Lepisosteus oculatus: one gene and its partners. The main gene of each other region encodes a partner of the protein of the gene in region 2 in a complex. Links are inferred from orthologs where the notes say so. Each region holds a gene or a part of one and is shown on either strand. Other genes may lie near its edges.

What was found.
Region 1: smarca4a (region 2) and smarce1 share a complex: the UniProt entries of both Homo sapiens proteins name them as parts of the BAF complex. The link is inferred for Lepisosteus oculatus from reciprocal best matches to the Homo sapiens genes SMARCA4 and SMARCE1.
Region 3: smarca4a (region 2) and smarcc1a share a complex: the UniProt entries of both Homo sapiens proteins name them as parts of the BAF complex. The link is inferred for Lepisosteus oculatus from reciprocal best matches to the Homo sapiens genes SMARCA4 and SMARCC1.

Annotation. Positions count from the first base shown.
Region 1 is NC_090723.1:9,906,947-9,910,956, reverse strand, and holds the start of smarce1 (SWI/SNF-related matrix-associated actin-dependent regulator of chromatin subfamily E member 1), read left to right. Parts: upstream 1-1,104; 5' UTR 1,105-1,194; intron 1,195-2,062; 5' UTR 2,063-2,107; coding exon 2,108-2,114; intron 2,115-3,481; coding exon 3,482-3,525; intron 3,526-4,010. UniProt on the Homo sapiens protein: Involved in transcriptional activation and repression of select genes by chromatin remodeling (alteration of DNA-nucleosome topology).
Region 2 is NC_090706.1:16,566,309-16,570,318, forward strand, and holds the start of smarca4a (transcription activator BRG1), read right to left. Parts: upstream 2,760-4,010; 5' UTR 2,525-2,759; intron 1-2,524. UniProt on the Homo sapiens protein: ATPase involved in transcriptional activation and repression of select genes by chromatin remodeling (alteration of DNA-nucleosome topology).
Region 3 is NC_090705.1:20,050,171-20,054,180, reverse strand, and holds the start of smarcc1a (SWI/SNF complex subunit SMARCC1), read left to right. Parts: upstream 1-1,417; 5' UTR 1,418-1,487; coding exon 1,488-1,682; intron 1,683-4,010. Other genes in the region: KAT8 regulatory NSL complex subunit 1, read right to left, coding at 1-358. UniProt on the Homo sapiens protein: Involved in transcriptional activation and repression of select genes by chromatin remodeling (alteration of DNA-nucleosome topology).

The DNA of each region.
Region 1 (4,010 bases), on a different chromosome or scaffold from region 2:
CAAAGCGCTTTACAGGTAATGGGGATCCCCTCCACCACCCCCAGTGTGCAGCCCCACCTGGATGATGCACCAGTACTCTAACCACACACCAGCTCTCAGTGGGGAGGAGAGCAGAGTGCTGAAGCCAGTTCAGAGATGGAGATTATTAGGAGGCCATGATTGGTAAGGGCCAATGGGAAATTTGGCCAGGACACTGAGGTAACACCCTACTCTTTTTAAGAAATGCCCTGGGATTTTTAATGACCACAGAAAGTTGGGAGCTCGGTTTTACGTCTCATCCAAAGGACATTATTGTTCATGATGGCCCCTAATTCCCTTCAGGAGTTTGATATATTTATCGTATATACTGACAGTGACGGTGGCTTTCACTGGGTAGGGCTTAGCAAATGAAAGGAAAAAACAACAGCACCTGAATTATAATAATAAACATTAGGACTCAACTGAATTTCTCTCTATATATACATCCTTTCATGTTTAAAGAAATCAAAATAGGAATGAAGACAGGACAATTTTTAAGATCACATTTTAACAACTGATTTCTAAAGGCAAAGACAGAAAATGATTTAAATGTTGTAGTGTTGACACACTCAGTCCCCTCTGAAATCCAGCACGCCGTGGCCTACGTGAAGCTTCAATTTTTTATTTTTCCAATCTCCCTTGTCCCCGGACCTGCAGTGTCACCCAGGTGAGGCAGGACAGTGCGGGATGACGTGAGACCCCTTCCAAGTGTACAGCGCCCTGCGACCCTTTAGAATGAGAAACCCTGCAGTAGAGCCCGTTCTTATTTTTAAGTATTATTAGCTAAGCATTTGAAAAAGCATTTGAAAAATTCTTCATTATCGATTTAAAAAAACAAAAATTCTCCAGTGTATTTCTCACACAATCCATAACATGGACTTCACGCAAATTCTATCTGAGAGTCAAGAGCGGCACTTTCGAAAAACAAAAGAACGTTAAATCAAAGCTCAGTTAGTATTGTCAAAAACATATATATATAATGAAATATAAAATACAAATTATTTTTCTTAGTCTTTTAATTAAGATTTTTTTTATTTAATTCGCCTCTCTCGCCCCTCGTAGATCTCCTACCTATCTCTCCGGGCCGGTTTGAAACAGCGAATCTCCCGAGTTTAATCGAAGGTTAGCGTGGGGGAGGCAGAGGAAGTGGTGCGAGCGAACAAAGGCTGTGTGGGGGTGAGTGTGTTTTAGGTTCATTTTCACCGTTTTCTACAAAATGTCCAAGTGAAAACTGGCCAGCAAGTGACCCAAAAGTAACCACATCCCAGGCGTTGTGCTGCTGTGCGTGACCATCGACATAGTTTGGCGTATTGGTTTATCTCCATCCCTGAGCCGCCGGAATGTCTGCCGCCATTCATTTGGTGTTGCTGCAGAACATCTGTCATCTTATGGCCTGTTGTTTAATTTGCTTTTAGTTTGATTTTTGTTTACTTGTTAGTATCCAGAGCCCTTTAGAGCCGGCGTTCATCCAAGATATTGTTTGTAGGGGTCAGGAAGATTAGTGTGCCGGTAGAACTCGAGGTTTTCTTTGTTATTGTGAGGCCTTGTGTGTACAGACAACGAGACGGGTCAGTGAGCAGATGTATACAAGCACAAGTCTCTTGAGCGGTGATATCCTCTTTGCAAGGAATGAGCTGTTCAGAGTAAGATCGGCACAGTGTGTTGTACAGTGCTGTGATGAACGTGTCGTTCTCTGGTGTAATAATAATAATTATTCAGGTGTTACTGACAGAACTGCATGTCTCTCTCGTGTTTGTGTTGTAAAGTCTGCTTTATCATATTTTCTTTGCTAGTGAGAGAAAAGCGCCTTTATTTATTGTATATGTATCTGGGCTGCTTTGAGGCTTTGAAATGTTGTAGTACTTTGCAACGAAACAGCTGCCACTGCACAGAACCGTGACTTGGCATCATTGGCGTCTCTAATCAGACTGGCAGGATTGGTTATCATGAGTAGCTCAATATCTCCGTATCCATACCAAACAGTTCAACATGCTGTATTATTTTCTTTTCCTTTTTTTGTTCTAAAAAGATTTATTTATTACAGAACCAATGACCGGAATAGCCTGATATCCTCCATCCATCATCCAAGATGTCAAGTAAGGAAAATTAAATTTCAGTTCATGTGGTTTGATTGTAGTATCAGAAGAGTACAGGTCTCCCTGTCGCCTCCAGTCTCCCCTCCCTGCTGGCCTTTCCAGGCTTGTCCAGAGCTCCAGTCCAGTTCAGAAACTCAGCATTTTCACTGAGCAGGCATTACTCTTGGCCCGCAGGAAAACGTTTTGCTTTTTCTGTCTAAGCAGGACGATGTGCTGTTTGCCAGAACACAAAATGGTAGAAATAAAATCCACATAAATTATTTTTGCCGTGTTCCAAGTTCAGCATTCACAGAGTAGTCCCGCGTTTACAAAAACACCATGGGTCTCTTAGAGCTTGTTTGTAAAAAACAGATTTTTAATTTTAAAATCCCCTTTAATTAATTTTGTTCTGTCCTTTGTCGTCCGTTGTTTTGCGGACAAAAAGAGACCAGGAAGAGTTCAAGAGGGGTGTAACCGGTTTATAAAAGATACTGACATTGAGAATCTAATCCTGTCTTCATGCTTAACCTTTAGTTTAAATGGGCTGTGCGTTAATTTAAAAAGTTTTAGGTGAGGCTGATTTCAGTGAGCAGAAAGGAGTGTTAAAGCTCAAGTGTGTTCTCAGCAATAAACAGACATTTACTTGGCATTGGGCTGACCAGAGACTGATTCCACTTGAAGGTTTTTTTAAAACTTTTTCTGAAGGTTGCTTTGCATTAAAAAAGCTAAATAGTGACCTTGATAGTTTTCTTCAGGAATTAATCTTTCCACTAAATGGGTGAAGAATTTCATAGATAATCCTATGAAGACTTTTCCCTGTGTGTTTTGTGTGTTATGCAGGTCAGCTCTTTGGGGAATATATCTTGTTTTTAAGGTGTGAGTAGGGGGTAGTAAATGAGGTATTTTTGTTAGGGTTGCATGTGCTAATTTCTGAAACACATGGGAAGGGATAAAGGTGATTTCTAGGAGAAAGCAGCTGCTTGAATGAATACTGATAGGCCTGGAAGGACAGAAGTGCCTGGCGGGGATCCCAGCCAGAGAATATATATAGGACTGCTTGGTTTAGCTGATCCGGCTTCAAAATCAGACAGTTTTTCCATTTATTGAGATCTGGACCTAGTCCTTTGCATCGTAGTACTGATAACTGCTCCCCAGTTCAACGGGCATGGTGCCTCTTCGGAGAGTTTCGGTGGGCTGCTTGTAGCTCTGCAGGGTGATCGGTGCTAATTCAAGCAACTCTGCAGCCAGCCGCAGTGTGGGGGGGAGCCAAATCGCCCTGGGGTGTGCCCCGGTTTGCCCCATCCCCACAGGTGCGTTGTGAGCAGTGCAGTAATGGCTCCGTGCAGCTCCGTGTGTCATTAATTTCTTTCCCCTTTTCTTTCATGCAGAAAGGCCATCCTATGCCCCTCCCCCTGCCCCAGCCCCCACCACAGTAAGTATTGCAGATGCAGCACAGAGACAGACGAGGCGGCTCCTTCACTGTGCAAGGGCCTCTGAACCTTATAACAGGCTGGGATCCGGCCTTTGAGTCCGTAAGAAATGTGTTCGAACATCTCAAAGAGATGCAGTCTTCTCCCTCGTTCCTCCATAAACCACTAACAGGAGGAGGTCCCTGCAGGGCTTGAATTTTCCACACTTCATGTGCTGGTGCTGCAGGGCCAGTGAACTGTCCCCTGCAGTTACTGTACTGTGGGTGAAGCGTTCAGCTTTCAAATGCCATTAGTCCTCAGCAGACACCAGTTATGTGTGACTGTAACTCTAAAGTAATGCCTTAGCTGTGGGTATGTTTCCTGTTTGGTTGTAAGCGAAGGTCGTCCTGACGCAAGGAGTGTCAATAATGCCAATGTAGATCACTACCATTGCTGCTTTGAAAAAAAAAATGGTTAGTTGCTTTTGCATGACTCCGTATGCAGACCA
Region 2 (4,010 bases):
ACTGAAAAAGCTTTTCGCAGGAGAGCCTATATACTACATCTGCAACTTCATCAACAGGTACAGGACCTGCCACAGCTGTCTGTCTAGACTGTGCTATCATCTACCCACTCCAGAAGGGCTTGCAGATAAAGCCCTACCACTGTGAATCCACATATTGCTCTGCGTCGATACAAAGTACTGCCCCTATATATCCACATATGGACTTAGTGGTTGTAAGTAAATATCAAACAACAAGCTTTCAGAAAGTTTTCCATATGTGGGTGTCACTGCCTCTCGACACGGTCGGGTCCCTTTTTCCAGAAGAACTCTTGCATTGAATACTAGAACTTTGATACAGACTCATCAGTCACAAACAGATGTCTGGGCTCTCCATCAGACCGACAGGTCAAACTGCAAACTGGTGAAGATGTGAATATGCTGCACCTTTTGTGCAGAGAGCAGCGCTACACGTTCAGAGTTCCCTTCTGTTTACGAGACAGAACTGGATATCTTAATCCGATTCACAAAAAGATATAGAATGTGAATGACCCAACTCGAGCAACTCTTGACTCAGTAAATCAGCGCATCTTGTTGATCTTGACGGGCACGATCATTTGAAAGTGAAAGACACTGTGACGATCCAGCATTTTAGCACAAACGCATCCTGATGAGGTGGTCTCACTGCCATTTTCCTGTTGAGTCCTCTTCAGATTGGCAGCGGGAAAACTATCCATCCAGCCCAAGGTTGCAGCGAGACCCAGAGACTATCCTTGCAAGCAACAGTCGCAAGGAACGATTCACCCTGGGTGGGACACCAGTCCATCACACACTTACAACAAGCCCTTGGAGAAAACTCCATTTTCTGCAAATAAAACACTTACACATGGAGGTCACAACAACACAAGGGGTGGGCACGGAGAGGACTGGGGTTGTGCATAATACAGAAAAGCAGAAGGGAACCCAAGACCTTGCGCAACGGGCCGGCACACTTTCTCCGAGAAAAGAAGAGTTTGGTTTAAAACCACTGTTGTGGCGTAAGTAAGGAAAACAGAACATACGTATTTTCCTTTGACAACCCAGATTAGAGTTCCCTGAACCCATGGCTACAGCCCCCCCTACAAAAGCACTTTTTTGTGTAGCTGGAGGCTGCAACTCTAATGGACCCCCCAAATATTCATTGATAAAAGCATCCCAAATTTACCTACACAACCTAACGCTGCTAGAGAGTTTTATGTGGACTCAAAAGCTTACAAAAGCTCTCCAAATGATAGAAAATTCTCAATTAAACACTTGACTTTTACACACCCTGGTAGCTGTAAACCTTTAAGAATGGTTCATACACCGACTGCAGACAGGACAGAATTGGCGACAGGGAAGTTTACCGAGAGCTAAAATGGGGAAAAATTAAAACACCATCCCGGACTACAACCTTTTACAAGAAAGGTAGAGTGCGACGGGGCTATTACAACTTTTAAATAACGTCTGTGTTGTTGATTTGTTAAGTAAAATGTTAATTTTGAGGCCTTTAACCCCTCAGATGCACAGGCTTCAAATCCTAAAGAATCCTTCAATTTGAAAACTCGAGTTGAACTGGTGGGACAGATACAGTCATTTTCAAAGTATAAAAATGACATTTCCTAAAGATAAAACGTACCTGATACTTATAACCGATTGGGGAGATATACATTTAAATATTTCTTCTGTATCTTCTATCCTAAACACGTTATGATAATTTGGAATAAACACAAAATGTCTGTCCAATAACAAAACAGGCAGTCTCAACATTACCAACATCAACAAGGAAAGGAAAAAAAAACGTCTAAACAGCCATAGTAGAGTCTGGCGGCTTTGAAAAGGCGTTTATTCGTGTTTAGGTGCGATGAGTACAGTAATAGAATAAATACATTTAAATTATTTCAGCATCGGAAAAAGTCAATATTAACCTACCTCACAAAAGCTTGTTCTCATTGTAAAAAGAAACACAGTAACGCCTATACATCATTATCAGACGCTTTTATTATGGAGGAAAAAAATGTCTCTCTGAACTTGGCCGTGTGAGAAGGGGGTATTTAAATTCTTCATTTTTCGAATAAAAACTGGAATTTCGTTCAGCTGGATACAAAGGGTGAAAATCGGGAGACAAAGAGCTACCAGCCGGCCATGCTGGTTTCTCTCGCTTAGCCTACGCTGGATATATATTTTAAGTTGATGTTTTCAGAAATCCCAGCAGCGAAAAAAGGCAAAACGTTATTTTTTAAGTGTATTGATCCGCCCGGCCTCCCGTACCCTTCCCGGTCTGTATTTCCCCCATAAAATAATTTCATTCATTCGAGCTGAGCGGTGGCTCACAAGCACACGGACCAAGGAGAAACATCTTTCAGCTGACGAGCCGAGCGCAGGGGAAGGAGGAGGAGGAAAAGGAAAGAAGGAAAAGCTCCAGACCGGCAAACAAATGAACGAAGGGGAAAAAAGGCAAAAAATAGGACCCGTTTTCGTGAAAAGGCCACGTAGAGACTCAACGGAGCAATAATCGAGGGGCGCTTACCAGCTCAGGGCAAATGCAGGTCTCACCGGCGCGTCTTCCCCCTCGCTTTCTGCGGAAACAAAGAGCTCCCTGCTGGCTGCACCCCCCTCCCTCTCTCTGTCGCCTGACTGTATTTCTCCAGCCACACCAACCATAGAGTCTGAGCGTTAGCGCCCCCCCTCCTCCACTCTCTCTCTCTCTGTTTTGTTTTTTCTAAAACCCGGCCGGCTTGTCCGAGCGCAGGCGCAGTGCCGGCACCACTGCAGGCGGAATGCGCCGCGGCAAAGAGGCCGGCCGGTGCGGCTCAGCCGGACGTGTTGGACGAGGTGGGGGATGGGGTTACTCTCAAACAGCGCCGAGTGCGCGTACGCGGCTCGCTCACGTCTTGCACCTGAAGAGCAGTACACTGTCGTTTACCAAATAACCTCCTTTCACCCGTACTCTAGCACCAGAGTAGATTCAGAAATCGCACAGAGAGCGTAAATAGTTTGGTCGCTAAGCGTTTTTACGCAGTAATCGTGCATTTCCCCAGGGTCTCCTATATTCGTATGTTCCGAAAGGTACCTTGGCAACATGTTTAAAGTGGTCCCTGGAAACTATTTTTTCCTCTCCCTAAGTTTTATCATCTGTTAAAAAGTGAGAATGAAGGGTCAAGCAAAATCCCGCTTAGGTCAGAAGATATCTTTTTTTTTAAATGACTAATCAGTTTGGGAAAAAAACCCAGAAGACACCAGGTTCTCGAGAAAAGGAGGATGAGACTGCCGCTGGGTCGCGGGATGGAGCCCCAGCGCTCAGACTCCAGGAAGCCCAGGAGTGGAGTCGAAGACCTCGCCCTCCTCAGGGACCGGCGGCACGTTTATCCCGGCGGAACCGCGGAGCCCGACACCCGGCCCGCGGCCGACGCTGCCTGTCTCCGCGACGGCGCGCAGGCCCGAACCCGTGAAGCCGTTTCCGGGACGGCCTGGACGCACTCAGCACGCCGGCGCTGATTGGGGGAGGGAGGACGGGCAGAGCAGCAGGTGTCTTCTGGCCCTGGCAGCACGTCTCGACCACCATCCTGGACAAGCCTTATGGGAATTCTAGCAAGGACCATGGACTCTCTCAGAGGCTGGTGCCACAGTGCCACTTGCGTGTCTTCCTCCGGCACTGCACCTCTGCCAGGAGACCAGTGCTGCCCAATTACTGACCCTCACCCCCATTCTCCCTACCCAGCCCGTTAGAAGCAGTCGAGGAGAGGCAGTACAACACTGGAACACCTCTTGCTCCAGAGTCCAGCAAATCCCACATAGTTTATAAAATACATTTGAAAAATCATATCCCATATACAGCATACTTTTTCCCCTCCAGTTCAAATAACTGGGTCCACCAAGTACATCGAGCCTAGCTCTAGAGAGCTGGAAGCAGGTGAACTGTTCTGATTAAGAAAATAAGACAATTCAGGTTGTACAGCGCCAATTTGGAAAGAAAGCAGCCGATAAATCCCCCCCAGAACAGAATTAGGTCATTT
Region 3 (4,010 bases), on a different chromosome or scaffold from region 2:
CTCCGCATTCTCCAGTCTCAGCACTCCGGTCGCGCTTTCCCCCGCTGCTGTCACTGGCATTGTCCAGAAGCACGACCTTATTTTTACTGCTGGCGTCCACATTATTGCGGATTTTATCTTCATGATTCCAATCGCTATACATTTGGGCCCGGGCGCTGCCGGCCTCTCCCTCGCAGCACGGAGCTGGAGTTGCGGCAGCGGCGGTAGGAGCAAGCACACAAGCTCCGTCGCTGTCGGCGAGCTCACCGCTGCCTCCTCCCCCGCTTCCCCACTCGCCGCTGGGCAGGGTCCCCTCTGCCCCGCCTCCCCCACACGCTTCACTGCCGCTCATTTTAGGCCAGGTAAAATAAAAATACATCGCCGTATCTGGTCGTTGGCATGGCCAGGACTGGTAGGACAGTCAAGGCTCCCGCCGCCCTGCCTCCGTGTCCCGCAGAGACTGGAGCTGTCCTACCCGTCACTCCCACTGCCTCTCTGCGTTTTGTGCTGTACATGGTATGAGGTCTGTCAGCTCACTGACGACCAGCGCGCAGGCGCCTGTCACTACTCTGCAATCGGGGAATATGCCGTTACCTTTAAAGCTGCAAGATGAATATTGCCTTGTTACAATAGTACGATACAATAAAAGCACTTCTGAGTTTATCGTAATTGATTTTGCAAGTATTGTTGTAAACCTTCAAGATTTCTTCAAGATTCTAAACAAGAGGTACAGAAGAGCTCATAAAGAACTTTATATTTTAGTAGCCTACTATCCATTTTTGTAGGCTTATTACAAAATATTATCAGGTAATTAATGTTGTGAAGATATGTTTGTTTGGGTTTGCTTTGGAATAGCTACAAAGGGCGGTGTTTTTTTAACATCTTTCATAGTTTCCATCCTGATATATCATATCTTCTTTTTCTTACATTTGCATGGCTGTCAACCGTAATACTCAGTGCAATATACTCAACTAATACCCCGACACGCCCAAAGAGGGCTCCACAGCCGAAACGTTGTTTCCTTTCCTCTTTTCAGCATGGAATAAACTTTTAACTTGTTTCTTTGCAGCCTACGCATGCTGTCGCAGCTACCTACTTAAACTACTCAACAAATATCCTGTTATACAGGCTGAATTGCGAGATGACGGAGAATGCTATTTAACCCAGATTGCTATATTGAGATATTTTAGGAACAAGTAATAGGTTTATTCCATGCTGGAAAAAATAAGAAAGGGAACACAACGTTTCGGCCGTGGAGCCTTCTTCAAGTGTGAAATATCTCTAAAATACCTCAATTTTTAGAGATATTTTAGAGCATTGTATTACAGACATGTCCCTAAAATGAGTGTGAACTACATTTCCCATTAGCCTTCACTCCTCCCGCGAGGGAGTACCTTCCCAAGGAAGCCCCTGCGAAGCAGGTTGGCGGCTGCGCAGTTCGGTTCTAGGCCTTGAATTGGGAGCTAGGCGGTTGGCTGGGGAGGAAGCGAGGCGAGTAGCACAAAACAATGGCGACAGCAGCAATTGCAGCTGGGGGAGCGGGCTCCGGGGGCCCGGCGGCCGGGCAAGGGGGCAGCGGTGCTTCGACTCTCTCGGTGGGCAGAAAGAAAGATGGGGGCCCGTCTGCTAAGTACTGGGAGAGCTCGGAGACGGTCTCTCAGCTGGAGTCGGTCCGGCTATGGATCGGAAAGCACTACAAGAAGGTAAAGCTCTTCCACCTCCATTGATTCGGCGGCTACATCCGTGCGCCTTGCTCGACAGAGAGGCGCCTTTTGTACGGGCAGTGAAATCGCGGAGGGAGTAATAATGCTCTTGATTCGTTTGGTTTACTTAAGATGGCCCCATTGCAAGGGAAATCGGTTCATTTTTTAAACCGATTTGCGTTCTATCCAGCAAGCCGCTAAACGCAAGCATCGAGGCTGTTGGTCAGTTGTTTTGATGGTGAGGGATGTTGTGTGGGTGACGGTGAATTCAAGTTTTTTAAGTAATTCTTTCTATAATGGAGTGGATTTTTGTACGAAAGGTGGGCAGATAACCGTGATTAAGGGTGGCGCGTTAATGGATCGAAGTATTGGTGTTAATTTTGTGTTTTTCTGAAGTTGGTCGCTGGTCAGCAGGCAAAGGAAGTGGATTTGCCTGGCAATGTTGAAGCCTCTAGGGGAGATATTACGGTCTCACCCAAAAAGACACGGCAAAACACATTTCCGTGGAAAGCGCTGTGAAACTAAAGGTGTGTTTAGGTTAATGTTGATGTACAGCTTTGGTCGAGGGCCAGCAGTTACGGAAAACAAAACCCTAGGCCACACGCATGTGACAGCTGACTTCGTTTCCAAAGTCAGCCCACGGAGAAAAAAGAAAAGGGCCCCGGGTTCGGTGGTGTCGGCGTGCCGGCCGCGGGCGAGGTGGAGGCGGCCGCAGGTGGTGCTGCTCCTCGCAGTTGTGTGACTCCGGGATGCTGCCGCTGTCCAGACACAGCCCGCAGGCTCGAACAAAGAGTCCCGTGTGGATTGTCTGCACGGCAGCTGCGTCTCCTGCCTCCTCAAGCAGAGAAAACGCTTTGTTTCGAGAGCCCCACCGCCTTGGCCGGCATTGCTGGATACACGATATCGTAATCGAAATGCGAGTGTGTGTGTGTGGGGGGGGGGGGGGGACGTGTGATTTTGTAGGTTGTATGTGTGGTATCACAATTTGTACAGATGGCCGACTGGTATTTTTAACGGAGCTACGAAGCAAGGGGGCGGAGATGAGCCCAGATCTCGTGTTGCTGAGCGGTAGTTGCAATTCGACTCCAAAAGCTGCTCTTGATGCATTTTGATCGATTTGGAGTTGAAGGAGATACGTACGTCCCCCCTGCAGATTTACGTGGGAAGGTTACCAACTTGAAACATCCAGGTTTTGACTGGATGCATAAGAGTGCAACCCGTAAAACCCGAATCGGATTAAACTGCAGAGAAGTGGGAGTTTATTTCTCCTATCTATGCTAAAGCAGTGCGTGTCTGAAAGAGCTTCCGGGCGCTGTAGTTTGACAGATGTTTGCTTGTGGCTGTGTCAGTAACGTTTCCTATGCTTAAAGAACTGAAAGGTGGATAGTGGATCAGCTGATATTAAATGATTTGAAGAGTTTTGTATTGCTTGGTTGTTGGATTGCGCTAACCTTTATCTTAGTTCACATGGCTTTTGGGTATTGTTTCTGGTGGCTGTGTTTCTTCTCGCAACAATCCAGACTGAACCTTTATAGACATGTCCGATTACCGTTTTCATTAATAAGTTGAACTGTTTCATCCAGAGGAACTCGTGGATGACTCTGTAGGTACTCCAGAATAGATACGTCTGCGTCTCGCCCAGTGGCCGCACTGCAAATATCCTCCAATGCAAAAGGTCACAGTGTGTGGTCAGTCATATTTTGTAAGAACAATGAGAGAATAAGGGTTTGTCTGAGTGCTGCTGGAGTTCCTGTGGCTCAGTCTGGCCTTGCCAGGGATGTTTAATCATCCATCCAGTTTCTAACTCCTTCGTCCCGTTCAGGATAGCAGGGGAGCCAGAGCCTGTCTTGGCAAGCAGCAAGCAAGAGACAGGATACACCCCGGATGGGGTGCCACTCCATTGCAGGGCAAGCAGGCACAAACACAGATACACACACTCGCACCTAGGGCCAGCTAACCCGCCAGTATGTTTTTGGACTGTGGGAGGAAGCCGGAGCACCTGGAAGAAAGCTGTGCGAACGGGGGAGAACATACAAACTCCACACAGATAGCAATTTCTAGGATTAAGGATGGATTATAGGATGTGATTTACCATTGATCAGTGAGATTCACACCATCCGCTGTTGCACTAAAGTCCAATCCATCATTCAGGATCCCAACCATACTGGCCACAGACTGTTCTCTGGGAAGTGGTACTGCACTATTAAAACACAGACCTCTAGATTTAAGAACAGCTTCTATCCTGCTGCACTACGCATCCTCAACAGCTAACTGCAATGCCTCAGACTCAATACACATCTGCACTATGCACTTTTTGCATAGTCTACC